Medicago truncatula: one gene and its partners. The protein of the gene in region 3 interacts with the protein of the main gene of each other region in a pairwise test. Links are inferred from orthologs where the notes say so. Each region holds a gene or a part of one and is shown on either strand. Other genes may lie near its edges. The genes, in order: G-protein coupled receptor 1, guanine nucleotide-binding protein subunit beta-1, guanine nucleotide-binding protein alpha-1 subunit and regulator of G-protein signaling 1.

Evidence for each region.
Region 1: the proteins of guanine nucleotide-binding protein alpha-1 subunit (region 3) and G-protein coupled receptor 1 interact in binary tests that used the Arabidopsis thaliana proteins (3 or more experiments, as listed by UniProt). The link is inferred for Medicago truncatula from reciprocal best matches to the Arabidopsis thaliana genes GP ALPHA 1 and GCR1.
Region 2: the proteins of guanine nucleotide-binding protein alpha-1 subunit (region 3) and guanine nucleotide-binding protein subunit beta-1 interact in binary tests that used the Arabidopsis thaliana proteins (3 or more experiments, as listed by UniProt). The link is inferred for Medicago truncatula from reciprocal best matches to the Arabidopsis thaliana genes GP ALPHA 1 and AGB1.
Region 4: the proteins of guanine nucleotide-binding protein alpha-1 subunit (region 3) and regulator of G-protein signaling 1 interact in binary tests that used the Arabidopsis thaliana proteins (3 or more experiments, as listed by UniProt). The link is inferred for Medicago truncatula from reciprocal best matches to the Arabidopsis thaliana genes GP ALPHA 1 and RGS1.

Annotation. Positions count from the first base shown.
Region 1 is NC_053042.1:3,734,640-3,741,507, reverse strand, and holds the start of G-protein coupled receptor 1, read left to right. Parts: upstream 1-3,842; 5' UTR 3,843-3,964; coding exon 3,965-4,147; intron 4,148-5,362; coding exon 5,363-5,394; coding exon of another isoform or gene 5,395-5,430; intron 5,431-5,488; coding exon 5,489-5,658; intron 5,659-5,923; coding exon 5,924-6,018; intron 6,019-6,868. Other genes in the region: serine/threonine-protein kinase RIPK, read left to right, coding at 19-411, 679-814, 1,341-1,477, 1,611-1,734, 1,888-2,264. UniProt on the Arabidopsis thaliana protein: Together with GPA1, may regulate the cell cycle via a signaling cascade that uses phosphatidylinositol-specific phospholipase C (PI-PLC) as an effector and inositol 1,4,5-trisphosphate(IP(3)) as a second messenger.
Region 2 is NC_053044.1:57,900,575-57,907,960, forward strand, and holds the start of guanine nucleotide-binding protein subunit beta-1, read right to left. Parts: upstream 3,025-7,386; 5' UTR 2,887-3,024; intron 2,880-2,886; exon of another isoform or gene 2,770-2,879; 5' UTR 2,707-2,769; coding exon 2,601-2,706; intron 2,532-2,600; coding exon 2,437-2,531; intron 2,208-2,436; coding exon 1,783-2,207; intron 1,668-1,782; coding exon 1,307-1,667; intron 1-1,306. Other genes in the region: glucan endo-1,3-beta-glucosidase 7, read right to left, coding at 4,343-4,380, 4,805-5,087, 5,264-5,590. UniProt on the Arabidopsis thaliana protein: Guanine nucleotide-binding proteins (G proteins) are involved as a modulator or transducer in various transmembrane signaling systems.
Region 3 is NC_053042.1:4,088,619-4,095,656, forward strand, and holds the start of guanine nucleotide-binding protein alpha-1 subunit, read right to left. Parts: upstream 3,022-7,038; 5' UTR 2,544-3,021; intron 1,446-2,543; 5' UTR 1,385-1,445; coding exon 1,298-1,384; intron 1,211-1,297; coding exon 1,138-1,210; intron 97-1,137; coding exon 59-96; intron 1-58. UniProt on the Arabidopsis thaliana protein: Exhibits a fast rate of basal nucleotide exchange. Guanine nucleotide-binding proteins (G proteins) are involved as modulators or transducers in various transmembrane signaling systems.
Region 4 is NC_053044.1:42,433,001-42,440,485, forward strand, and holds the start of regulator of G-protein signaling 1, read left to right. Parts: upstream 1-4,463; 5' UTR 4,464-4,656; coding exon 4,657-4,739; intron 4,740-5,273; coding exon 5,274-5,394; intron 5,395-5,539; coding exon 5,540-5,603; intron 5,604-5,704; coding exon 5,705-5,789; intron 5,790-6,039; coding exon 6,040-6,113; intron 6,114-6,479; coding exon 6,480-6,671; intron 6,672-7,441; coding exon 7,442-7,485. Other genes in the region: golgin subfamily B member 1, read left to right, coding at 63-210, 286-367, 1,068-1,170; protein NOI4, read left to right, coding at 2,244-2,252, 2,636-2,848, 2,953-2,979.

The DNA of each region.
Region 1 (6,868 bases), about 350 kb from region 3:
ACACTATACAAATTCTAGATGACTACTACTAAAAAGATAACATGGAAGTCTATGATCTTGATCCTAAATTGTTACAAGAGTAAATACCCTTTGGAGGAATCAGAGAAACATGTTCTAAAACAAGGTTCTTTGCAAAGACTATGTTTATCAGATATAAGCAATTCAAGTTCAAGTCAAGCTATTGAAGATCTTTCAGTTTCTTTTGCTGGTTCTAAACTTCATGCATTCACACTTGAGGAGCTAAAAGAAGCAACACATAATTTCTCATGGAGTAATATGTTAGGTGAAGGTGGATTTGGACCTGTTTATAAGGGTTTTGTTGATGATAAACTTAGACAAGGGTTAAAGGCTCAAACTGTAGCTGTTAAATGTTTGGACTTGGATGGCTTGCAAGGTCATAGAGAGTGGCTGGTTAGCTTTCTGATGCACCCTTTTAGTTTACGAAGCGTATGTTTGGATTGGCAATTGATTGAGCAAAATTACGGTTTCACTATGATTTTGTTAAAGCTCTAAAGTATAGTTTTTGTCAAAATCACGATGGATCATCGGAATTTTATGAATTTCATTGCCGAACCAAACATATGCTAAGATTACTTTTTTCCATGACAAAATACCACAATTTTTGTGGAAAAAATATATCTAAAAAAATGTTGTTTTGAACATATTTTTATTTTCTAGGCAGAGATTATATTTCTTGGACAACTAAGTCATCCACATCTTGTGAAGTTAATTGGATATTGTTTTGAAGATGAACACAGGCTTTTGGTGTATGAATACATGCCAAGAGGTAGCTTGGAGAATCAATTATTCAGAAGTATGTTTCTTTTCTACTTTCTACTTATTTTCTCATCATTTTTTCACTCTTTTCCCAAAAGGCACAAAATTAAATTAAGTAGATACTAAATAATCATTAGGACTTATCATTTTTGGTACATAAACTCACTCAAAGTCAAACCTGATCAATTACAAGATCTAATGGCCAAATAATTTTGATCTGATGTTCTATATTATTAAACACACTTAATTTTTTATTTTTTTTAAATCTATTAGTTTTGTTGAGTCTGATTAGAAACTCTCACACTAACACAATAATTAAGGTTTGCTTCATTATTCTAATATGTTTGTATGATTCATAGTTTACTAATAAGTGGAATCTTGTAAATTGGACCATAGTATGTAAACACAATTTGTACACTATAAATCCTAAGGTTGAATTATAGAAAGGTATAGCATCCGCTCGGTAATGGTAGCCGTAGACGTCTCACTGATCAAATCTCGTGTGTTATTTGTTTGCGTTTTTCTTTTGAGCCGAGGTTGATGTTCTAACATAATACAAACAGGATACTCTGCTACTATGCCATGGTCAACAAGGATGAAAATCGCATTGGGAGCTGCTAAAGGCTTAGCATTTCTTCATGAAGCAGATAAACCTGTAATATACAGAGATTTCAAAGCTTCAAATATCTTACTAGACTCGGTATGTTCTTTTCTCTTCCCTTTCTGTTTTATTCATAAACTTCAAAGATCACCTTGCATCTACAAAATTATCTTCCATGTGGCCATATTAGAAAATTATTAACTTGGACTTTTTTATCTCCCATCAAATCCAGGATTATACAGCTAAGTTATCAGACTTTGGACTAGCTAAGGATGGTCCTGAAGGAGAAGAGACACATGTAACGACACGCGTAATGGGAACACATGGTTATGCGGCTCCTGAGTACATCATGACAGGTATGACTCTACCATACAAAATGTTAACCCTGTTTTATGCTGCTCCTGGCCGAACTCTAGATTATCAGGATTGTTTTCGCTGATAATTTTAGGGTTAAGACGAAGAAAAAAAATTTGAATCTAATTAACCCTTGCCCGATTGATTATATATAGGTCACCTCACAACAAAGAGTGATGTGTATAGCTATGGAGTGGTTCTATTAGAATTGCTCACAGGAAGAAGGGTAGTGGATAAGTCTTCAGAATCAAGTAGAGGGAAAAACTTGGTGGAATGGGCAAGACCAATGTTGAGAGATCAAAAGAAGCTGCACCGTATTATCGACCGTAGACTTGAAGGTCAATATCCTACCAAAGGAGCTTTGAAAGTTGCTATGTTAGCTTTTAAATGTTTGAGTCATCACCCAAATCCAAGACCCTTCATGAGTGATGTTGTTAAGGTTTTGGAACCACTTCAAGATTTTGATGATGTTTTTATAGGACCATTTGTTTATGTTGCTGTAAATGAAAATGGTGACAAAGATACAATATAGTACACCTAAGTAACTTAGGTAAATATTATAGCTTATAAAAAAAAAAAAAAAAAGGGAAAAGGAAAAAAGGAAAACAAAAAAGTTGTGTTACATATATTTTCCTAAGGGACAAGTTTGATTTTCAAAATCATGATGCAAGTAGTTATACATGTGTGACTCGTATAATCACTTCGTCTATTTATTAGAGTTGTTGGATAGAGATTAGACGATTCATATTGTGATTTTGACAAATCAATAATTTAAAATCTCGATTGATGGTTATCAAGTCGATGTTGGTATGTCATAGCCAAAAAAAAATATTAGAGCTGCAGCAAATGTTTCATATGGAATAAGTACTATACTACCACATGGAAACTCAAGTTTTCAAAAGTGGTAAAGGATTGATGAAGTACAAAGGCTTGAAGGAAGTGTTTGCACGGATGTTATTATCAATAGTATTACTTATGTTTGGATGACTTCAAACTCTAGTCTAGAATATACAAACAACTCATCAAATTATAATATATTTGACAAAATTATTGTTGGATTGTGTTCATAGTTTTAGATTTCAAATCATAGCTAGATGAATGGGAATATTTATTATTATTTTTCCCATCCCGCATATTAGTCTCATAGTCTGGTTGTATTTACAAAATGAGTTTTTTTTTTTTGTTGGTAAAATTAACTCATGAGTTTGCTCAATAATAAAAAATGATTTGCTAAGAATACAATAAAAATAGCAAGTTAAGGAGGGAATATTCGTAGAGCTTATACCGTCGTCATATCATTGCATTATTTTGTGATAAGGTCGATATATCATTGTTGAACTTAAAAGGGTTGAGTCAAAAATAAAATAAAAACTTGAAAGGGTGCGCTCAAGTAACTTCTGTGACTTTGTTTTTTGACAGAGTAATTTATGTGGCTTAAAACACTCATTTATCTTATAAATACCTTCTCTAACACCCATTTTTCAATTAAATGAAAGTCATGTGAGTTTGACATTTTAAAAATAATCTTTTGCACCAATTTTTTTTACGTTAATCCTTTCATTTAAAAACATAGACATGTTTAAATCTGAGCTGAAAAAAATATAACGTAAATATATATTTACTACATTATTTATAAAGAAATAAATTTAGTTTGTATCTAACTTTGTAATATTAATTCCTTCCACAAAACTTTTTAATATTAATTAGGGTTAAATTTATTTTTGGTGCTTATAAATATAACGAATTTTGATTTTATTTTTTATAAAAAAGTGACATATTTTTGTTCCTCTAAAAAATTCTAGCATGTAGCAAATAAAACAAAATTGATCTAAGAGGGAGCAATTGTCAAATTGCCCCATGCAATGTAAGTAACAGTTTAGACAAAAATGATTCTACCCAAAATTGATATTTCAAAAGAGTTGTGTTATTTAAACAACCAATTATGTGACAACTTTTAGTACAACCAAAATTTTGCAAAAAAAAGAGATTGTCACAAAATCAATAATGTGAGTATGAGATAGAGATTGTCACAAAAGTTGTCAAAAATTGATGGTACAAATATCATTTCTCATTTCAAAATCAATTAAGTTTTATCGTTGTTTCACAAAACCCAAAAACACCGTTTCAATTTCAACTTCATTTTCCCTTTTCCATATTCACCACTTAACCACTCAACTGTAACTTCAACCAACCAACCAAACTGATCGCCGATCACTCACTCCTCCTCCCGCAATGGCGACCACCGCCGCCATCAGCACCACACTTACCGCCTCCGATCGTGGGATTCTCACCGCAGTAAACGTCGGCGCGTCGAGTCTCTCTTTCGCTGGTTCAAGCTTCATTGTACTATGCTACCTTCTCTTCAAAGAGCTTCGCAAGTTTTCCTTCAAGCTCGTTTTCTATCTAGCACTTTCGGTATGCTTCCTTTTCTTCGCTTCAGATCTATAACACTGCGTTTTCTCTTTGTATTTTCAAAAAATTGCTTCGATTTTTTTTTATTTATTACTTTAAACTCTTCGCACAGTTTGAAATGAAATCACATGATTAAACGCGCTTTTGTTTTTGTTAACTTAGTTACTTAATTTTGTACTTAGCTTCTAATTGTTGCTTATCGTTGACGTAATCGGCCAATTAGAGTTTGGAACGAATTACAGCAGAAGCTGGTATTTGGAGATTTATCAGTTAGGAACTAATTACAATGACATTACATAATAAAGGTTACAAGCAAATCTATAGTAAAACCTAATGGACTCGATTAGTAACTTAGAAACCTAAAGCGCCCAATAACTTATTATCTAACAGTGGTTACAAATGCGGACACAGTTGCTGCAGAGAGCTCTAAGAAATATTTATACTGCACCAGCAATTGCGGTTGCAGACCACAATTTAGAACTTTTAGCAGTGTAATGGTTAAGTTACACCAAGGTTATTTGAGGACTGCTTAATCCTAAGATCGAACCTCAGCGTGACTGTTTTGCCTCCATTTTTTTAGCTTAATTTTCATTGTTTACCTACATTGTTATTGTAATAATTAGGAGTCCCAATATCTTTTAATATGCTTACTGATAGTTATTTATAGTGAGCTACAGAGCTAGTAATTAGAGTAAGCTTCTCTATTTGATATATGCTTTGTAAAACTTATCAGTTGTTACCAGTGTTGTCAAATATAGGCCATGGCGGATTGTGGTGGCGGTGTTTTGACATCTTTCATGGCCAATTTGTGAAGGATTGAGGCGCCATTGCGTTTTATGGCAGATAAAGTGTCTTATGATGGCAGCTTTTTAACTTCCTGCCATGGTCCGCCATCTACAGTTGACAACACTTGTTGTTACCTGCTAGTTATTGACTTCAATGTTGGTGCTAATTTGTAAAACCTACATTTTGGTGATGAAAACTGTTGGTTTTTAGTAAATTTTTTAATCAGGGTACCAGCTTTTGTAATCTTTCTTGTCATTTGTTCCCCTTAGCCACTTTAATTTGAATTTGTAATGCTGTTTTACAATTGAGAAGTAGGTCCTTCGGGAATCATAGTCTGTTCATGTGCATTAGATGATCAGCTATTGCATTGGTTTCACCATGTTCTCTTCTTCTAAGCCATAATGCTCTTTTATGAATTTTCACCTGTTGCAGGATATGCTTTGCAGTTTCTTCAGCATAATAGGGTATACTTGCTAGTTCAAGTGCAATTTTCTTCAAGTGTATGTATCAACTAAATCTGTTCATCATGTGATTGATAGAAGTTTCATTTTGATACAGGGACCCATCCAATAGTTTATTTTGTTATGCTCAGGGATATAGTACACATTTTTTTTGTGTGGCATCTTTCCTTTGGACTACAACAATTGCTTTTACCCTTCACCGCACTGTTGTAAAACACAAAACGGATGTTGAAGATTTGGAGGCTATGTTCCATTTATACGTCTGGGGTATGCATCTATCGACGAATCAACTTTTTAATATTGTAGCTTTGAGAAACGGCGTATTTTTACAATAATCTTCATGTCATGTGATATCCCAATCCCATGACATTTGATTTGAAAATGAATTTCTTGTACAAAGTAATGCTGATGGAATGGCTTTGGTTATGCATGAAGAGTAGGACTTTCAACTAGTCTTGATTTCGTTCAATTCCATTATCAACTTGCATAGAAGAGAGCTCATTTGATGTTTTTTTCTCTAAACTTTTGATAGGTACTTCGCTGGTTATGACAGTTATGCGCTCCTTTGGTAATGACCATAGACATTTTGGTACATGGTGTTTGTCTCAAACAGGTCTTACAGGGAAGGCAAGTAGTAATAGGAACGCAGGTCACATGTTGTTTTCCTACAATTCCCAGAATTTTTTGTTTATTTCATTTTCCACATCATTATTTTGGTTTTACATATGGTATATGATGGGATTTTAATTCAATAGAAGAGGTGTGAGCTTAATATAAGAATTAAATGTAAATTAACTTTTCTAAAGCATGAAAATTTTGTTTCATAACTTTAGCATGGGTTAAGTGTTATTGGCCTCTGCGTGATTTGTAACAACAATTTGTTCTCCATATTAAGCTCTGCTGTTATAGTAAAGATGAAACATTAGGATTTTCATGAAAATTAGAATAAACGCCAAGTAGGGAATCCTCTTTCTTTAATGGTATATGTATCTCAATTGCATGCTCTAGTGTCAATTCTCTCACTCTCTCTAAATCTATGTAATTTGATATCATATAAATGCAAAAAGGATTGGCAATGAATGTAAGCTCCTGTTTACCTACGATAGGATTGTTTTCCTCGTTGCAATTCTTCAAAATTCAAAATAACATATGTAGATTAACATGCAAAGCAGCTAAAATTAACAGCTGTGAAAAATCCATGTGAGCAAATTTTTCTGACATTTTAAAGTTCTAAACAGCATTCTATCCATATTTTTGTTAATTGCTTAGGGATGCTGTTAGATACTGGGTTTGGGCCTAAGCCCAACTAATGTACTATATAGGGGATTTGGTTGCATTTGCTGATGTGGCTAGTTTGTTAGAGGGTAATGACGGTTATATGAAGGATAGGATAGCAAGAGAGGGGAAGTTGTCACATTTTAGTTACGACCTTAGAAGGTTTGGGCAGAGAAATTCCTTTCTCTGAAGGAGCGGTGCT
Region 2 (7,386 bases), on a different chromosome or scaffold from region 3:
GTAGTGTCGGAAAATATCATGATATGACTAGATTTTACAAGACAGAATTGCATTTTGTTTTTGTTCAGTTTTTCTTTTTTCAAAAAATATGGCAAGTTTGCCAAGTCAGAGATTTAATATACTCCTAAGTCTATATTAATGGGAGTTGGAACAACCACTCTTTTTCAGCCTCCCTTCTCCTGTCTTTTTCCAAAATAAGAAAAATCTCAACTAGAAGATAAACCTTCAATTTTCCCTTCAAAATAAGAAAAAAAATTCCTTCAAATAATTCATATTAACTGCTTTTACTGGCCCACAAAACAAGGTCTTAGGCAATGACTTGAGACATAAATAGAAGTGCAAAATAAAATAAACAGCGGTATAAAAGCTCCACATCAAAAGACATTGTGATAGCAAAAAGAATATCAGAAAATTATGAGCCAATTTATATACAAGATGATGCCTAGTGAACTCATCATGATTAATAGACTCAGAGGTCCTATTCCAACACAATGCCACCACAGATTGAAATGTTGAAAGCATAATGAAACCAGAACTCACCCCCAAATCGCATGTAGAAGTAAAGCAAACAATTAATTAATAGAAACTAAACATGCTGTTAGTACGTATCACAAAGGATCTTATTTTCTATATAAGCCAGTTCCTCGCTGCCAAGCCAGAAACATCATGTTCTTTGAGGTGGGATCAAGTTACTCCCAGAGTAACTATGAGCAGAGTTGCTCCTCTTAATATCTCTAAACATAGAATTTCACCAATCCAACCGTCGATCGGTATCAGATTATATTAATGATCAAACATACAAATTGCTTATAAATTCAAAATTTGTACCTATGTAATTTTTTAGAGAACATTTACTTTTATACTTTTAAGAAGCTTATTATACATTCAAGTAGAGTTATTTGATGAAGTGTCAAATAGTTTTGAAATTTTATAAAAATTTGTAGAGTTGACCTACTCAATAAGAATTCTAATTTGGCAGTTGGATTCACACTGAAAATAAACAACCACAATGAAGCATATGTTCCATTTAAAAGCTAAGGTAGGAAGCAACAAGTAAGAAGAAGACACCCAACTGTTGGTTTAGGTCACACTAAAGCACCAACTACCTTTCGAAATAAAATCTCCCAAAACATAATAAGTAGAAATAAAACACCCTGCTGTCATTTCAGGTTAAACTGAAAAACCAATTATCTTTGCCAAAAGTGTCGCAAACATAGTAATCCCCAGTTCACTGTGGTACGAGGCTATGAGCAGAAAGAAAACACCCTACTTTTGTTTTACATAATCACACTAAAGCAACAATTACCTTAGCCAATAAAGTATCCCAAACATAGCAATCGCCATTTGTATATCCAGCAATCAGAAGTCTTCCGGATATGGAGAATGCAATGGAGGTCACATGTGCCATTTCGTTGTCACCGCTGTGTTGCTGATTATATACTTGAAGTTGGTGTCCAGTCCTAATGTCAAACAATCTGCAAGTTCCATCTTCTGAGCCAGTTCCAAATCTATTTCCATCAGGAAAGAATTTGACAGAATTAACATCACCCTCATGCCCATGAAATGTCCGCACTGCTCGACTTGCCACACGAGTGTCCCACAATCTGGCAGTCGCGTCGCAAGAACCAGATACAAACATTTTGGAGTTGGATCCATTAATGGAAATGCTGAGAGTGAGCAAAGAAAAGAAATATTTCTTAGCAATGATCCCATACTAAAAAAAACTATGCTCAACTGATTTTCATATAGATCTCGCTACTATTAAAACAACTTAAACAATACCTAAGTACATCTGCAGTATGTCCAGACTGAAATTCACCTCCAAAAACAGATGTTCTCAGGCCGGTGGTAATATCCCATAAAACACATGTTTGATCACCAGAACCAGTAATTAAGTGAGTGTCTTCGCCTGGAACATACTGACAAGATGAAACATAACCTTTATGTCCACTAAGCATCCTTGAAACATTTAGATTCCCATCCCTATCAGTGGGTGAATTAAGATTGAAAATAGAACAAACACTGTCAAGGCCACCGCATGCAACAGATTGACCAGTTGGGGAGAAAGCACATGTCATGACCCATGCACAAGGAAGCTTTATAGCATGAGTTTTCTGGCTTGTTAGAGCATTCCATACTATTAATCTACCATCTTGAGATGCACTAACAATTCGATTCTTTTCTGAAGTCCAATCCAATGAGTAAACCTGTAAAATTTCGTCAATGGTAAATAAAAACACAATTGCGCATATCTGACAACTAAGCAAAAAAAAAAAAAATCAAAAGCTTCCCTTGCTATCTATCATAGATAGAAAGTAAATGAATCTAACTCAGTTACGGAATGCTTGGTACCTATTAAGAAATTTGAATAATTCTACCTACTACGAGTACTCAGTGTTAAATTCAGCAAAAAAGAAAGTAGAAATTGGAATAAACCTTTCCGGTATGACCTTGGAGAGTTCTACAGCAAAGAATATCTGTGGGACCAAAAGTAACGGGAGTTCTACCTTGAGACTTTGCATAGCCAGCAACTACAAAGAGAAATTGTTGAGTTAGAAGATAAATAGATCTAATGAATGAAACTCGAACTCAGAACTCACTATCTGTATCAAGAAGAGAGAGGCGTCTTTGCTTCAAACGTTCTCTGAGATTGTTGACGGTTTCCGTTGCAGCTATGTGACGTTCCTTCAGCTCCGTAACTGACATTTTTTTTAGGTCTTCCTTCACTGATTCATTCAAATTCTGAAGAAAAAGGACGATGACCACGACCTAATTAATTAATAATAATAATTAATATGAATTTACAATTAGAAATGGTTGAGATGTAAAGTGTGAAGAGAAGAAGAAGAAGAAGAAGAAGAAGAAGTTGAACAAGTGGGGACTAACTGTTTATTATTTACTGACGCCGCCGGGCCCACTTCCTCCATCTGTCACTTGTGTTATTTGGAATGGAATCTGTCTTTGCTTCTTTTTCTATGGATGGATGGATCGAACTAAACTTAATTACGACGATAATTAACGGATAGTAATTTTGTTATTTCATTTCGTTTTGTTTTGTGCTTTCCAAGGTAACAAAAATAATAGTTCCGATGCCGGGAATCGAACCCGGGTCTCCTGGGTGAAAGCCAGATATCCTAACCGCTGGACGACATCGGATGCTTGTGTCAATTTATCCCAATTATTATATTTGACATTTCACCGTGTGCGCACACTACAAAGTACAAACGAGACAGTTTGATAGTGTTAGGGATAACAATGACAATATTATATTTGACTTCATAATTTCATACTTTGATATATATTATCCCTTTTTTTAAATATAATCCGTTTGCTTTAGTTTTATCCGTTTAGTTTGAAATTTTTACTATACTAAAAACATATAGAGTTCTCGTTTTTATGCTCTTGATCCTTTCATACTTCATAATTTATCTTACCCTTGGGTGTTTAGAAATTTATCAAGCTTTAATTTTTAATTTTTATTTTGAGCAAATCAAGCTTTAATTTATCTTACCCACTTGCATGATAAATTTGCATCGCATCCTTTTTATTTGCATCATTAATTATTTTAGAAGACATTTGTATGAGTTAGCTGACTGATCATATCAGATTATTCTTGTGTCTACAAAATTGCAGCATGGGATGCAATTATAATTATAATGTAATTTTAATACAATATCATTTATCAGTACTCCAAAATTGCATTATTTACTTCTCTTCAAAACGTTTGCGGGTTACATACATCTCTTGCTTAGATTTTCTGTCTTTCTGTTTTGAAACTCCACTGCGTTTTACCCTGCACACATCAAGCGGATAAATCCTCAAGAGCAACTTTCATGACACATCAAATTTTATTTAATACTTCTCTTTGGTGCATTGTTCACTCCCATCTGTGACTGGTAGTACAGTAGCTTATTTTCGTTTTTGCAAACATAACTTTATGATATCGATTGCATACATGTGTAAAAAGTTTTACATATAATATGAAATTATTTTGTATGCAACAAACAGGTCGGTAAATTGATATTTTTTTTCCTTCAGTTTTCACACTGATACGTCAATAATCTATGAAAATGGATTGCCACAAGCACACGTTATGCAACGCATACTCATACCTAAAAGATATACTATAATATTAAGAAGAAAAAAAGTTAGAATAAGGTTGGGTATGCATGCCAGAATTGGCATGCCTTGACGATGAACAATTAAAAACATACTAAATTAAAAGGTTATAAATAAAAGAGGGCCAAGGATAAACCCTTATTCGTTGATTAAAATTTAAATTAATGAAGTACTTTGTTTAAGAAAAACTTATTTACTAAAGCCAAGCTGAAGCATCTGCTTTTCAGGTACTCCCACCAGCGTAATTGCAAGCATTGTAACCTACCAAGAAGAGGAGGAAAATCAAGTTAGATAACAAACACAATGCATGTATGATTTATGATTTATTTTTTTTTTGAAGCTACAATGCATGTGCAATGATTTTGGCAAAAGTTGCATTTTAGAACTTCAACAAAAAGCACAATGTTACTACTGTGATTTTGTCAAATTTACTGAAGACTTAAACGTTAGAACCTTATAACTTGTAGATCACTCATAAGCCACAAACCACACCTACAGCCATAAAGCACAACTTAAAAGGACAGTCTGCTATTTCCAATAATTTTCCAATAATGTAGCGTTTTTCATTGCGAATCATGGCTAAGTGATATGTTCTTCATCATTTTTTTATTGATCAGTATTTACTATTAACAAGCATCATTGAAAAAAAGAAATGAACGAATAAGTATCAAAAGAGGATATTTACTTGGATTTTGAGATGTGAGCTTTGCTGTTTGAGTGAAATCACAGTTCCATTGATTTCTACCAAACGTTTGGTAGTAAAGATTCATTACAAAGGCAGCATGGGATGCTACCGTGTTGGGTTCAAAACATGCTCCTCCTGGTAGTATTGGCCCACAATCTATACCTTGGCTACATGCATAGTCAATATTGTTTTGCAACTGAGCATCAGAGACTCCTGCCTTAGGAACACACCATCCAGCAGAAGTGATGGGTGCTGGAGTAACTGGGCTAGTTGATGGTGGATTCTGAAAATCATTCAAACATCTTATCAACCTTTCTTTTTATGAGACCAATATCTTAACATTATACTATAACCAAAAAAATTGAATTGTCAACAAAAATAGGAAAAAATGAAACTAATTTTCATTTTTAATCTCTAAGACTCGGTGACCGAATTAGAAACAAATAGCAATTCGCTCACCTGCTGGCTAGATTTGGCCAAGCCAATATCATATGACATGGAAAGATCAGTTTTGAAGAGGCCGAAGGCGCGTTCGGAACCCGGTCCGGGTTTAAGGTCTTCATCATAGAGTGCAAAAATGTAAGTGTCCACAGACTTCCCGGGTATCAAAGGGGTACCAACTAATGATCTAAGATGGGTAATAAGGTTGCCATTATAGGCCTTGGCGTTTTCAACACTTGGTCCTACTTCATTGTTGTCCCCGCTAGAAGGCCATCCTGTCTCAGCAACCACAATCTCAATGTCCTCGTAGCTCATAGCACTCAGTGCAGAATGCACAGCATCAACCTGCTCAAAAAATCAGCAAGAAAATCAAATACCACTAATTATTACTATGTTCTTAAATATGAGAACATCTCAAACTTTTTCTTTGTCCCTTTTATTAGATTCATTTCAAATTTTCAACTGGTTTAATTATTTCTTAACCGATATACATCTAATTATGTTACACCTTTTTTTTTAGATTGTAATAAATATTGTGACGAAAACATAAACTATCTTTTCTATATTAAAGGGTAAACTAATAGTATACAATAATACAAATTGTCAACAAATATTAATATGCGGCTACCAACTTTTTTGACTATATGAGGAAGATTAATAGAGAGTTAAAATGAACAACCAAGAATAAGCTAGTTTATGGCTTATAAGTTTTTTTGTTTTTGAAGGAAAGTGGACAGCAACTAGGAGAGTAAAGACATACTAGTACATTCACTGACATTGGAAACTTTTTCACCTCTTTATTCCATGAGATCGAAAAAGAGTAAGGATCTTCCTACCATTACCATACTTGCTGCTACTATTACTATGGGTCCATTTTCTCTACTATGCCTAACAATTATTGAGACTTTGGAAGGACTTGTGACCACATTATCTGTGCCAGCTAGTCTCCAATCAAAGTCATGAGATTACAATCTATGTACTCATTATTTCACAGTTGAAACCCAAACATAGGACAGCATTCTCAATCACATATGGATAAGAACAACTTTATTCCTTACAATTTGACACCAGTGTCAATCTAGACTACTAATCAAATACTACGTGTTTGCTCTTTAGACCAATCAACCCGTGAATGGTCTGCTTACGCAAGTCTTATGTGGGCATTTAACATTTCCAAGCTCAAGACAGAAAGTTTAAGTCATCTAAACTCAAAGAGAACATATTGCTGTTGTAATAAAAATTTATACTTTAAAAAATTATCAAAAAATCATGAAAGAAACAATGATTTCTTAAAAATAATATATTTGTAAATAAGGCCGGTTTAGCAAATACAATAAGTTAGTTTATAGCTTATAAATTATATTATTAAAAAATACTTGTTTGACTCACCGTCGAAATAATCTAAAATAAAATTATTTATATAGCTTATAGTTTATATGTTATATTTAGCTGCGAAGTAGTATTTAGAGGAAATTACACTCACCTCCCCCGAGGTTTGACTCAATAGCACTTACATTCCCGCTAGTTTTTAATTAAACAATAACCACCCTTGTATCTTAAAAATTATTTATATAGCTTATAGTTTATATGTTATATTTAGCTGCGAAGTAGTATTTAGAGGAAATTACACTCACCTCCCCCGAGGTTTGACTCAATAGCACTTACATTCCCGCTAGTTTTTAATTAAACAATAACCACCCTTGTATCTTAAAAAAATAGACGCTCACTGCCCCTTTCAAGTTAGCGGTGTCTATTTTGACAGGAAATTAGAATGATAATTTTTTTACATATTCAAGGTTTCTCCAGGGATTTCACGAGATTGAATAGCATTAGACCATTGTTTGCAAAAATAAAAGTGGAGAAAATAATGATAGAAGAGCAAAGGAAAGGGTTTAAGGATCTAAGATTGACGAGAATGAAAATTTGTTTTGAAGTAAATCGAATACAAAACGAGAGTGTATTTTCCCCTAGTATTTATTTGAATGATGCAACGCTTGTTTCACTCACATATAAACAAGGCTTTTAATTTTTCCATTTATTTGCGTAAGCTATCAATTTTTTGTTTCACTAATATATAAACAAAGACTTTTAATTTTTCCATTTATTTGCATAAGCTATAAACTCTTAGTTCATATCATTAA
Region 3 (7,038 bases):
ATCAACAATCAAGTACACACACACAGTGCTAAGATACGGAGAAAATGCATTTTCTTACCTGCTTAAATATAGTGGACTTCCCCGACTCTCCAGCTCCTAAAAAAAGGGATCGTTGATAAGTTTAAATAAGTGCACCATAAAAATAATAAAAGCAAGCATGAAAATGAAATATTATTGCATAAATGGTTCAATCAAATGAGTATGCAATTATTCGCAGGAACATGATAGATAACTTAAAAGAAGAAGTCATTACGATAAATAAAGAAAATCTAATCTCCTGTTTGATCAGTTATTCCAAATCCTAAAAACATGAGTATACAAAATAGTTTCCTCAATCATCAATACTAAAAAAAATTCATCTGTAAATTTTATTTGAAAAAATGGAGGCAGCAATGATCAACTCATGACCACTTGGTCAGAAACTTGATGCCATATCAATAACCAACTATCCCAAAAGCTCAGGCTACTAGATGAAAGCTCGTAAATGGTTTTATATCAAAAATACATATGGAAATCAAGTAACCCTCAATCGGAAGTTGAATACACTTTTTCCATAGTACAATAAAACACCTTATGCTGCAAAGATGACAGTTTCCTCCATAATGGAGACAAAAAAATAACGAGAACATTGAATGTTTGGAAACAATTCAGTTCCTGCACAAACAAACTACTTATGAACTCTCGGTATTCGGTTGGGACTAGCTTGCAAGGTGAGGGATGTCTTCCACTTATATAATACATTGCACGTCATTTCTCATCTAATGTGGAACTCTCATCACACACCCGTCATGTCCAAAACTGGACATCCAGAGTGTGACCCAAATAACCCGAAAGCAGGTGGTCCAACGGATCTTGGATAGGCTCTGATACTACTTGGAATTCAGGTTACGCCTAATTCAGTCCTACTAAACCAGTTTGTAAACGAGGGATGTCTCTCACTTATAAACACATTTTCAGCTCATATATCATCTAACGTGAGACTCAACATAAAAATATAGACATTCCTTCAAAACCTGGCAAGTGTCATCATTTATACATTGTAGATTCCAAAATGGCAAAGTTCAACTTTATAATGTAAACATGGACCATTAAGCATATAAGACGAAGATAAAAAGACAATTGTCCAATAAAATGTACCTAGTAGTAGAAGTTTCTGAATATGCTTTTCAGCCTTTGTTTCTAACTCTATTCTTCTTTCAATTTCTGCAGTCTGTAAATGCATGTAAGCTTAATCAAATATAGCACTTTCAGATTATTAAGAACTTAAAAAGTATGTACTCAATCTAGTATAATTGACCTGTGCATTTTCTTCAGTGTTGGCATCATTATAACGGCGACTTTTGCTACAGAGTAAGCCCATATTTTCTGCTACAAAACACAGCATAGAAGATGATTAGTCAAGCTCCAGCAGTAGTGTGTGCATGCATTAGTGGGCTTGATTTCACCTAACAAGGGAACTAGCATAGTGTCAGCAGCACCAGAAAACAAAAAGAGACGTTTGGCACATTGAATTTGAAGTTGGCGATTATTCTCAATAAGTGTGTTTGTTTTAGCAAAACATTGAGTGTGTTTGACATGAAAACAAACATACACAAGGTAAGATATTTGGCCCAAATCGCTATAGGCCTGTTAAACAGTTTAATTAAACATTTATAACAAGCGTTTACCATATAAATGCTTATTTATAAACTATTTCTGTAACAAAAGATGAAATAAAATATTGTTTTCGTATAAGTGTCATAAGTTATCCTGGAGAGTTAATGGAAATAAGCTGAAAACAACTTATGAACGTGCGACTTGAATTCCTCACAAGTCCATCATCAGAATCAGATGCAAACAACCCCATCAGTGTTATGAGGATAATTGAAATGCCAAGAAAAGTTGAAGAAATTCAAATGGGGCATTATATTATTGTCTTAAAGTATCCTTTTTAGTCATTCCCAAAAAATTCCTCAATATATTAATCTCTTCAGCATCAAATATTAATCTCTTCAGCACTTTAACCCTCTATGGTCATGTACATAGCTAAACAGAAACAGAATTTTTATTTTTTTTAACTCGGTATCCGGCCTAAGGACGAACTAATCTGAGGGACCAATCCCTCCGTCCACTAGCGGGTGCCTAACTGAAGCCAGAGCAAAACATGCTCTGAATGGATAGGTTCAACACAAAAACTAAACTAAATCATTTGAAGCTATGAATGCTAAATATCTCCAAACAAAAGGAAGAAAAACAAAGCCCTTTCAAATTATTCTGAAACCATAAGCATGCAAACTAACAAAATAGTTAAAGAGAATATAATAATACACTCCAAAATGGTACCGTAAGTCCCCAACCAAATGCAAAATCACAAAAACAAAATTAAATATTAAAAAAAAAAGCCAAATATTATGCTAAATTGCAAACATCTCGATCTACATATTCAATTGCAAAATCAATCCCCAGCAAAAAAAAAAAAATTAAGACAACCCAGATAAAATTTCTCAATAAAGGATGGATCTTGAAAGAGAAATTAAGAATGCAAGATAAAAAAAGTAGGTTACCTGAAAAGGGTCGTTGTTGTTAAACTAGATTTGAGTGATGAATTGGAGATGAAGCTAAAAAGCAAGTTCAGTTTTCTTCAGTAGTAACACAACAAACATTAACAATAATAATAGCATAAAAAAAAAAAAAAAAAAACAGTAAAAATTTGTTAATTTTAAGGTGATAATAATAAATTAAGATATAGTACTAGTTTGGGGTTTTTTGAATGTAGTGTAGGTAATAATGAGTACAAAAATAAAAAAATAAAAAATAAAACATGTATGGTGGTGGTTGTTGAAGCTGGTAAAAAAATGAAAAAGAATGAGAAAAATGGGGTTAAAGAAAAAGAGCGCCGAAAGGTGATTCTGGTAAGGCTTGTTCTTGTTCTTGTTTGGTTTTGGTCAAAGATTGGAAAAAGACAGGAACATACATACATACATACACACAGGTAAGCACTGCTTTGCTGTGTGAATGACAACACTTTTCTATCTATGTGTCTTGTTGGAAAAACACACACACACCACCACTTGTACTTTCTTATTTTATTGTTTTCTCGAACTCAGGCACATAAATTGTGAGATTCTCTAAGTTAGATTTTGATACAGATGATTAGCTTAATAATATTGATATTGTTTGTTAATTAAACCATGTTTTATGGAACTTTTCGTATTTTGCCTTCAACAAATTTTACATTTTTGTATTGTTTGTATTTTCTATCTAATTTTTTTACATTTTTTATTTATGTAGATTTTAACATGTGAGGAGGATCTCATCTTGAGCAATAGTGCAATGATTGTGAGGCTAGCAAAATTGTTGAATTTGATTTTATTTCTTTCACATTAAAATGTGAGTTCTTTGATTATAAAAGAATAGAATGTGACTAAAAATTACGATAAATACGAAAAAAATAGGTTAAATACTAACAAGTGTTTTATAGATAGAGAAATCAACTAATAGAGATGTTGTCTTTCAAGTTGTGTTTATGTTTAACCCAATATTTATATGTTCAATAATCAAGTTGTATTTCTTTGAATAAATTAAAGGCAACAAATATCGTATTTGATCTCTCAAGAATAAAATATTGTGTTTGTTGTTTTGTTTTGTACTCAACTGATCCAATATGCACTTTACGACCAAAGCTTTCTAGATATTCAAAGTAAAAGATGCGTGGTCTTATTCTTCTATGTACTACAAGTCTTTGTCTTCTTCTTTTCTTTAACTCTATTTCATAGCACATTTTTCTTTCTTAATTATTTAATGTTGAATTACTCTGCCCATATTTGACTCAATTATGGTGTTAAAAGCTTCAACTTTTGCAAATATGATTATGCATCAATAGCTAAACAGAGGTGGGAATTATCACGAAATAGTCATAATCCATAAAAACGACAACTTATACGGGGTCAAATTATTAAGAAATATTTTGGTGTATATATTCATTTTTTAAAAGTAAGGTATTACTTGGGACCTGTGAAGCCCAGATACGAGATACGATACTGCACCGATACGTCGATACGGAAAATTTTCAAAAATCAAGATACGATACGGCTGTGATATGTTAATAAAAAAATTATATAATTAAATATACAATATAACTATAACCATTTTTAATATGCAAATATGTTAACAAACAAAAGAAACCGATCATATGAGTTAAGGATAGACCCTTGGTGCAATCCTATGAGTGGTATAATATTTATTTTGTTTTATTTTAAATGAAGAAAGGACTTTTCTCGGTTACTTTAGTGTTAAGGTTATAACATGTTCCTCATAATATATGTCTTATATAAGAGCAAGAAAATGGTTGGACTACACACACTCACTTGAGACTTGTTGTTGGGTTGAATAGGTTCACAAGGAATACTTGGAGTTGTGATTAGTGTACATTGAAATGAAGTCTTAGAGGAGACATAAGTTTTTATTTGAATTGTCATATGTTAATCTTTTTATTGCTGCTATGTCTATGCCTTTTGCTTGAGGAAAAGCAAAGATTCAAGGGTGGGGGAGTTTGATGAGTCAATAATTATCTATTTTAGTATAATATTTAGTTTAGTTTTAATTAGATTTAAGTTTATTTTATTTTAATATTATTTCCTTTTTGAACTATTTTACTTCAATTGCATATTATTATATTTCAGGAACGAATATTTAATGGATTGAGTCTTGGAGCAAAAGAAAGGGGTTTAGAGCTGATTCGGAGCAAAAATACGAAGATTCGGAGACAAAAATATGTCTCCTCCAAGTCAGAAGCTTGGCACGGCCGTGCCACCTCCCATAACACCTTTTGCTGATTTTGTTTAGATTTTAAGCTACTCTATTTTAGTTTTACCAAAAAGCCCGTTGTTTGTGGAACATTCTAGTGATGTAATTGCTTAGATTCTAAGTCGAATGTAAACTATAAATATAGGAGCTAGCCATCACTAATATTCATCTTTTCTTGGAATTCAATAAGTGACAATTGTCTTTCTAATAAAAGTTCTTTTATTTTCCTTTACTTTCTTGTTATTTACTTTTATGCTTTTCTCCTTCTTCTTCATGTCTACGATGAACATGAGCGAGTAGACTTCTCTTGTCTTGGGATTGCTGGATAAGTCTTAATGACATAATCCTAATCAAACTAAGCTATTGACCCTAATCTTATGTAACCCTAATCTCTAATCTAAATTCACCGTTTTAACATGAATTAACCATTATCAACTGTGTAAACGAAAGTGGAGGGTTTGATAATTGTTAATCCATCATCTCAAATATCAATTCATAAAACGAAAGTGGAACTTTGATATTCGAACAAGTGAATTTAGACAAGGGTTGCAAAGGCAGCGAAATAGTCTCTGCAATCTTTGATACATACAGTTTCGATCTTCAAGGGAACTAATAGTAATCAAGTCAGCGAAATAGGCTTGGTTATTAAAGGAACCAAAATCTAATAGTAATCAAGTCAGCTTGGTTGCTAGAGGAACAAAAGAGAAACTGTCTTTAGAAGTTAGGTATAACATAAGGTTCTAGGTTTAATGGTTTGGTTTGAGAAGGACTTGTCATTAAGGTGAACCAATAATCCCAAGCCTCTTTTTATATTATTATCTTTCAACCCTTTTGAAAACCCCAACTTTGCAACTTGATTCTCTTCTAATCATCAACAAAAGTTAATTGAATTTAACAACTCCATGTCGGAACGATACTCTTATTTTAATACTTCGATAGAACCGTACACTTGCGGTTTTATCCCATCAAGAGAGAGTGGGGGTAGCACCTAGAGTAGACAAGTTGGTAGAAAATAGGCTTAGAAGGTTTGGACATGTAGAGAGAAGACCCGTAGATGCCGTGGTAAGAAGAATAGATCAAATGGAGGAGAGTCAAGTTAAAAGAGGTAGAGGAAGACCTAGGAAAACTATTAGAGAAACCATTAGAAAGGATTTAAAGGTCAATGAGTTGGATCCAAATTTGGTGTATGATATAACACTATGGCGACATTTGATCCATGTAGCCGACCCCACTTAGTGGGATAAGACTTGGTTGTTGTTGTTGTTGTTGCAACAAAGAAACAAATTAGATTAAGGAAGACACACTTTATGGTAGATCGGAGAAAATCACTAACATATAGTCAACTAAAGACCTAATCATCCATGCCGAATAGAATTGATTAATTCTCTCTATTATTTTATGAAAGGTTTAAATATGCAATCCGTCCCTGTAATTTGGGTGCGTTTTGATTTTCGTCCTTGCAAAAAAAAAAAAAATCCCTGTAAAAAAATATTTGTTTTAAAAAGGTCCCTCGCCCCACTTCAGTTATGATTTGGCATGGGTTTGGCCACGTGGCAGTTGCTGACTGTGCAACTTTTGCCGCGTGGCATGCCACATTATTAAAAAAAAAATCATAAAAAACTTATGAAAAAAATTTCGGGAAAAAACTGTTAAAATTAAAAATTTTGTAAAAAAAAGTGAAAATTAAATTTTTGAAAATTATTCCGAAAAAATAATTTCCAATTTTTTCTTTATTTTAAAAAAAAATTGGAATTTTTTCATAATTTTTTAATTTAATAAAAAATAAATTTTAAATGACGTGGACTGCCACGTGGAAAAAGTTTGCAGAGTCAGCAAGTGCCACGTGGCCAAAACCATCCCATATCAGCAAAAAAAGTGGGGTCAAGGACCTTTTTAAAACAAAAAAAGTTTTACAATGATGTTTTTAAATTTGTTTTTTTTACGGGGACGAAAATCAAAACATGCCCAAATTACAGAGACGAAATGCATATTTAAGCTTTTATGAAATCTATTTTTTGCACTTATAAATTATAGGAAAAATTACAATCACCTTCCATATATAAATTATTCTCTAATAGCACCAACATCCCCTCTAGTTTTTAAGTAAACACAAACCCCCTTATTTTTTCTCTCAAAGTGATAATCACCACCCTTCCATCTAAACAACTTTTAGTTTGACAAAATTCTTAAGTTAATCCTTTAAGTTTCGAAAGTTTCAATTAGGTCCTTTTTAGTTTGACAGAATTCACTGTT
Region 4 (7,485 bases), on a different chromosome or scaffold from region 3:
CTGCCAAAAGAAAATATCAAAGTGATTAAGTGCATATATTAAGAGTTTTCTTATTTACGCAGGGATCTCTTGGCAAAAAAGCATTATCTCCTGTCCCATTGGCTGCTCATGTGCGAAATATGCGAAAAGGATCTAGTGACCATCTTGCACTAGATATTGGTGGGGAGTCTGATCAATTAATCAACAGTGCTGATACCGATGATGATAAAGGTATTTACTAGTTGCTCTTCACTGTAAATTGTTTGATTTTAAAACTTGAATACTTAATAATAGATTACTTTGCAGGTCATGCATTCAAGTCTCTGAACACTTCTGGATTCGTACCGAAACAAGGAAAGCTCATTGCAGATCGTATTGATGGAATCTGGTAAGTTGCTATTTTCTATACATCATATTTACCTTTGGTTAAGCAGGAGTATTTTTTTTTTTAACGAATAAAGTAGAAGTATTTTTAGAATTGCCTGTTTCAGCATTTTAACATGTAACCGCGAAAGGCAAAAGCACTCTTCAAATTTACATTGCAAAATAGATGTCGCTTATTTGTAATGTTGAACTCAGATGATCTAAAATCCTTAAGGTGGTGTTTCGCGTAGAATATCAAACAGCTTAACTCTAGACTAGAGATGATGTTTAGTGGTAGGACCTAGAAGATACTTACACTCATTGGGAAAGATCCTTAAATGGAACATGTATAGATGTACTAGACCATTAAACTGATGCAGGGTATGTTATCATCCTTGGAGTAAATAAACTGTAGGCTTTTTTAAGAACATTCAGTTTCGAATATGATTCAAGACAAATAATTAAAATTAATTTATTGGTGCTTGTTTATTATATTTGAAGGTAAAATGGTCGAAAAGATTTTGTTTAGATAACTAAATGATGATAATTTAGTGATTCCATCTTTATTATATCAATGCTAATAGTTCCATTAATTCAATTTAAATACCTCAAAATTCAAAATTCACATGTTTTATTTATTTATCATGAAAAATTCAGTCATTTTTACCATTAAATTTTTTAATGCTACCAAACACACTTATGTTGGGTTTGATTTCTTTATGCAGGGTATCCGGTAGTAGGGTTCTTATGAATCGTCCCAGAGCAAGATTAGGACTCATTGGCTATTTGCTAATCATGCATTTATGGCTACTGGGGACGATATTGTAGAAAAATTGTGCTCTAGGCAATCTGGACTACTCAACACTTATGTCCTGCATTTGCAAATTGTAATGTAGATAGATATAGTAAATGTCATTTTGCTTCTGAATGAAGCCTACCCTGTTTTTCTTTAGTCTCATCACACCCTCTAATAGTTTTCTCTGCAATCACATTTTAGGGATTCAGAGATTATAGTTTTCATGTCTGGGTTCAGTTTTTTATAGGCTTCAATTATTTTTATTGTAATTGCAACCCTTACATTGTATTTGCCCTACATTTGTTTCAAAATTAAGGGATGTGGTAGGTAGGAAATAGGTAGATGAATTTTTTCACTTGTTAGTATAATAAAACTGTAGAGATATTTCAAGAGTGCCTCATTTCTATCTCAAGCAATGAATAAAGACATACTGAGGCTATTTGAAGATATTTGTTTCAACGATGCCTTTGAACTTGAAGCATAGGTATTTCATATCGACTTAGAAATATTTTATCATTTTTTAAGTTTAATTTAAACAAGTACTTTTATCTTCCACGTTTTATTTTATAATTATTTGTTCAACATAATTTTATGTACATCCTCTAAAAAAAAAAACGTAAGTTAATGTACATCAAAGTACAGATTATATTTTCCTTCTTATATATAATTAAAAAAAGAATTGATCATGCAGCACTGTTGCCACCTTTTGCAAGAATCTTAGAATTTTTTTAATCTGTTGACTGCTGTCCTAATTATATGGATAATATGTTAATTTATTTACCATAAATAGTTATCGGTGACTTTTTAACGGAAACAGAGTGTTATTAGAGGGTTAATATTGTTAAAAATGTAGATTAAAATAGCTGTAATGATAGTATAATAATATTAACGTAAATCCAACAGCTAGTTTTCGCTGCAGTTTGTTTCTCATTCTGCAGCCTTTATATAAAATGTTGTATTTCAAGCTTTTTCTTATTCAATTCCACCTCACATCTTTTATTTCTTTTTAATAATTAATCTTCATTCGTTTTACTCATAATTCTAACCATCTTCCAAGAATTTCTTCTGGTGTTGTTGAATATCATCACAAAGCAGCTTCAATCTCATGGCTTCGGTATGATCTTTTTCCCTCTCCATCCTTTTCAATAATCATGCAATGCATGTTGATTTTTGGTTATGTCATTTACTTTCTCATTAAGAACAAAATAAAAACTTATGAATGTAATGTGTATGGAATCCGTATTCAAACATTATTTTGTTAACGTTAATCCGATCATTGAATGTCTTTTGTTCAACAAAAATTGTTAAAGAAACATGTTTTTGTTCTTTCTAACGAAATTAGAAAGAAAAAATTGCTTTGGCTAAATATTAATTTTAATTATTTGGTGCTGTTTAAAGCAACATTTAACGTGATGTCTAAGCAACTAATGTGAAATTGAAGAGTTTAATTTTCAATCAATCAATTGTTTTGGTATTGATGACACAATGTATGTGCAGTATTCAGAACAAGATGGAAAGCCTCTACCCAAATTTGGGGAATGGGATGTAAATGATCCATCCTCAGCTGAAGGGTTTACTGTTATATTCAATAAAGCTAGAGATGACAAGAAAATTGCTTCTGCATCTGGAAGATTTCCTTCACAACGACGATATGACTCTCGCACCGGTCGCACCAACGATAATAATAAAAATTTAAAGGCTTCCTCAAAGGTACCTAATAACAAACTTGTATTATTGATGACAATAATCAATAATAAATTGTGTTAGGTTATTGTGAAGCTGGGTGATTTATTTACAATTGGTTTTGTGTGCAGAAAAAATGGCTTTGCTTTGGCGCTTAGACGATGATATAAAGATGCATATGTAGTTTTTGATGTCGGCACATGTGATTACAATTAATCTCATCAATACGAGGCAAAGGGGAGAAACTTAGAATGAAAAAAATAGTTCAGCTTGCTCAAATCATCCGCGTAGCTTCTAGATGTTGATTTTATGCATCAAGCTACTTTATTATACTCCTAAGCAACATTAAAAGTTTAATTGTAAATATATACGCTAATCAATTCAACATTTTTGGTATATATTGCTTTGAGAAACAGTGTCTTTTTATTTGTTGCTTTTTTTATAATTTTGTTGATGATGGTATATTGTAGTACTATTTTTTTTCTTCAGGAAATTGCTGATGATAGTATAATGTGATGTATTATAAAATCATTGTTAAAATCACGACCAATATCTTTCTGGTTCAACGAAGACAAAATGGGATTAATTTAAACCAAAAGCATATATAGTTATTAATGTTGATTGATGACCAACTATCGTTGATTTTTTTTATTTTTTTATGAACAAACTAGACTAGATTTAGTGATGCTGATAATTAAATTCTTAGCTCATGGGCTTCTAGATGAAAGACTTATTTTCTTATTCATTTACATTAATCCTCTTTTGCTTTATAATATTAATTAAATATACCATTACGTCATTTAATTGTTTTTCATAGATAGTAGAATGAAAATAATATTTTTTTGAGGAAGTATATGAAATAATTTTGTATAAGCAAATTTTCCTTCAATTGTTTTTTTGTATAAGCTAATTTGTTGCGTACAATATTTTTTTTGAGAGGAAGTATATGAATTAATTTTAAATAATCTATGATGTATTTTTCTTTACACATTTGATTGAAAAAGCATTAAAAAAATAGTTTATCTAACATATATTGCACATGTTAAAATAACTAAAAGTAATAATTTTTTTTTCGTTGAAGGAAAAATAACAAGTTTTTATTAAAAAGCAACAACTATTTATTAAAAATTTATATTATTTGATATAAAATGTATAAGATTCAATTCAAAGTTACTATTTTAAACTTCTTACCTGATATAAAAACCTTTAAAAAAACACAACACAAGAGTGTTTGATATTCCGGAGTTAAGTGAAAAGTAAATAAAATCCGATTAATTTCTTTTTCACAATTATACTCAAATAGTTTGGGGGTAATAATTATTTTCGTTCTGTAATGACTAGTCACAATAGTCCATCAATGTATCAAAATTTTAAAATAGTCCGTGATTATGCATTATGTTCGTCAAAATAGTCTCTGACTATTTTAAATAAGTAAGTATATTGGACGACTATTTTAACGTCAGAGACTATTTTGACCAACGAAGTGCACAATCAAAAAATATTTTGAAAATTTTTAGACATTAAAATGACTATTATGATTATTCATTAGATTAAAACAACTATTACCGCTATAATTTGATGTTTATGTTAAGCTTATAAACAACACAATACTTTTTCTTTTTGAACACTCCTAAATCATAGGCAAATACTGTGCACTACATACATACATACAGTAAATCGAAGTGTGAAACAAAAGAGCACGTGGAAGTGTTGTTGACTAGGAAAACAAAGAAAGAACAAAAAACAACATTGTCTGTCAGCTAAGATTGAATGCAACAACAACCTGATGAACAGAAACTGAATCTGCTGTTGTACTTTGTACCTGAGTCAGATGAATGGCGAATTTCAAGTGTGCCGTCAAAGGTGGCTGTCCCACTGATTATGTTGCTGTTACCGTTTCCATTCTCTCCTTCATTCTGTAAGCTTCTCTCTTTCTTTTTCTGCCTAATTCACTTTCTAATATAACATGTTTGATATTATGCCTCTATCAATTTTGAGCTTAACAACTTCTAATCTTACTTATATTTCCTTCACCCCTTTCTGATTTACCTTTTTTCTTTTCTTTTTTTCTTTCATGATTTATGTGATTCACTTATAGTGTGCTTTAGTTTGGCCTTTAGACCGCTTATTCAACAGGTAGTTAGGTACTTATTATGACACATCGTCACCGATAATAATTTGAGAAAATTGAACATAACCACATGTGCTGGTGTTGTGTCGGTATCTGTCACTGACACATGTCGGACACCAGACACGCTTATGAACATATCATCAACTATTATGGTAAGCTCTTTAAAACTATTACCCAAGTGGATGTGTCATAAGTTGAAATAAGCTCTTCCAAACCCTCTTAACCTTATTGTTGAATTGAAGCATCATTTGTTTTGAAATATAAATTGAGCTCTTAAACTTATGCATATTGTATCGGTAATGGTTGGCTTCTATCTTTCAGGCTTCTCATATGGTCAATATTTCCCTTCATAGTTCACAAGGTTCCTCGTACTAAAGGCAGTGGTTTCTGGATACCTGTAATTCAAGTTGTTGCCAGCTTCAACCTTCTTCTATCAATTATGGTAGAAAAAGAGTTCTTTATGTATATGTTACTGATTTTCTATGAAAAAATAAAACAATATTCGTTGTTCAGTCGTTACAGTAGTAAATGGTTAGTATTGCCCTGTTTGTTTTCATGCTTAGCTATCTATATTTTTCTTAATGCAGATGTCACACAATTTCTTCAAATTTGAAAAGAGCCATTGGTGGCAGTCATGTTACTTGTGGGCAGGTTAGCTTCTTGCCGTCTATTCTGACTTATTTATACTTCATATTTGAACATATGAATATTTGTTACTTGTTAGCATAACCATACTTTGTGTTTATTTCCAGTTTGGGGTGAAGGTCCACTAGGGTTTGGTTTGCTGTTGAGCTCTCGCATAACACAAGCATTTCAGTTGTATTTTATTTTCGTCAAGTAAGTGACTACCTGATATTCAGTTGTTAGGCTCTATAGCTTTCAGATGCTTCCTTAGGTTTTTCACTTTGCCCCTTGAAATTTCTACCTCCACCCTTTTTTTGTGGCGCGAAAATATAACCCCTCATTTTCTCTGTGTGTATTTTGCAGCTTTTTATATGTACTCACCCCACTGCTTAACAAGTGCTAAATGAGTTACCGTCCACTTGTAAGTTGTGTGCTGAATTAAATTTCTTTACTGCTATTTCAGGAGGCGTTTACCGCTGATCAGATCATTCCTTTTAATTCCACTTATTCTTTTGCCCTGGATTATAGGTGCTGCTGGTAAGAATCTGAATTAATTTTAAGTTACTTTTTGCTTTTGTTTGTGTTACATAGACTTTGCTGCTGGGAGTAGAGGTGGCTATAAATTTATCCGTGTACTTTGATGGTTTTTCACCTGTAGAGTTGCATTTTTTTTATCTATGTTAATGTGATGTATTGTGTTCTTTCAAAATTTTGCTGGACATTGTCTACTTCAGTTGAACGAGTAATTCGTTTTTGAAATCTTTCTGCAGTAGCCAGTATGTACTTAGTATTCGCAACATCTTGTGGAATTTCTAGAAATGATTGTCAGAATCCCCCTTTGCCTAGCTTAAGTTGCCATGTTGCTGTATTTATTTCTAATGAAGCTGTTAATTTTCTCTCCAGTTATCCATATAAAGAAGCCTCTTAGCAATCGCTGCCACATGTCAGTTCAGTGGACCATACCAGTTGTTTGCCTTCATGCGTTGTATGTTGCCACTTTGGTTGGGGTAACTGCTGCTGTGCATCATATAGAGTTCAGGTTTGATGAACTCAGAGACCTCTGGCGAGGAATACTTGTATCATCCGTATCCGTTGGTATACTTTTTCATACTAATATTAGACTAAGAATTTGTCTGCTGCCTGTTTGAAAGATGGTAAAATCTTGAGTAAGTTTTGGGGGGATGAGGACACTGATGCTACTGATAGCACATTGGAACCTGATACTGACCATGAGGCTCACAAGAGCAACTGTCAAAGCTCTCTGGAGCATGATATAGACACAGATGGTACTCTAGCCAATTTGAAGGAAACTCACTCTGCTGACCAGTACCTTCTGCAGCATTCTCATGAAGATGGTTTTATTAAACCAGGCAAGAAAGGCAGGAAGAAAGCTGCTAAAAGTAAAACCTTAGATGGTAACAGTACTGTCAGAGTTTCAACTAGACATAAGAAGACTAGTGTTCGCCTTAAGGAACAAGCATGAAGTGCATCTATTGGCTTATTAGGGGAATTGGGAACACTAAAACTCAAATTCAACTTAAACAAATGGGCTTTTCAAAATGCTGTATAGAGATTCATTAGGTTTACCATTAACTAGAATTGTTATGGACTGATCTTGTACGAAGGTTCAGGCCTCTCCTGCATTTATTTTAGTTTCCAAGCTTGATCAAAAATTAAAATAAATAGGGAAACAGACCATAATATAAAAGGAAATATGAGAAGAACTAATCCCAAGATATAATCTAAGATACTCTAAATTACTTCAAGATATTGCAAGATATTTTTCTTATATTCTAACTTATATTTTCTGGATATCTCAGCTTGGTGGTCTCAATAATTTAACCTATGTTCATTTCTTGTGTCAGCTGTATGGGTTACTGCTTACATACTTAATGAAATTCATGACAAT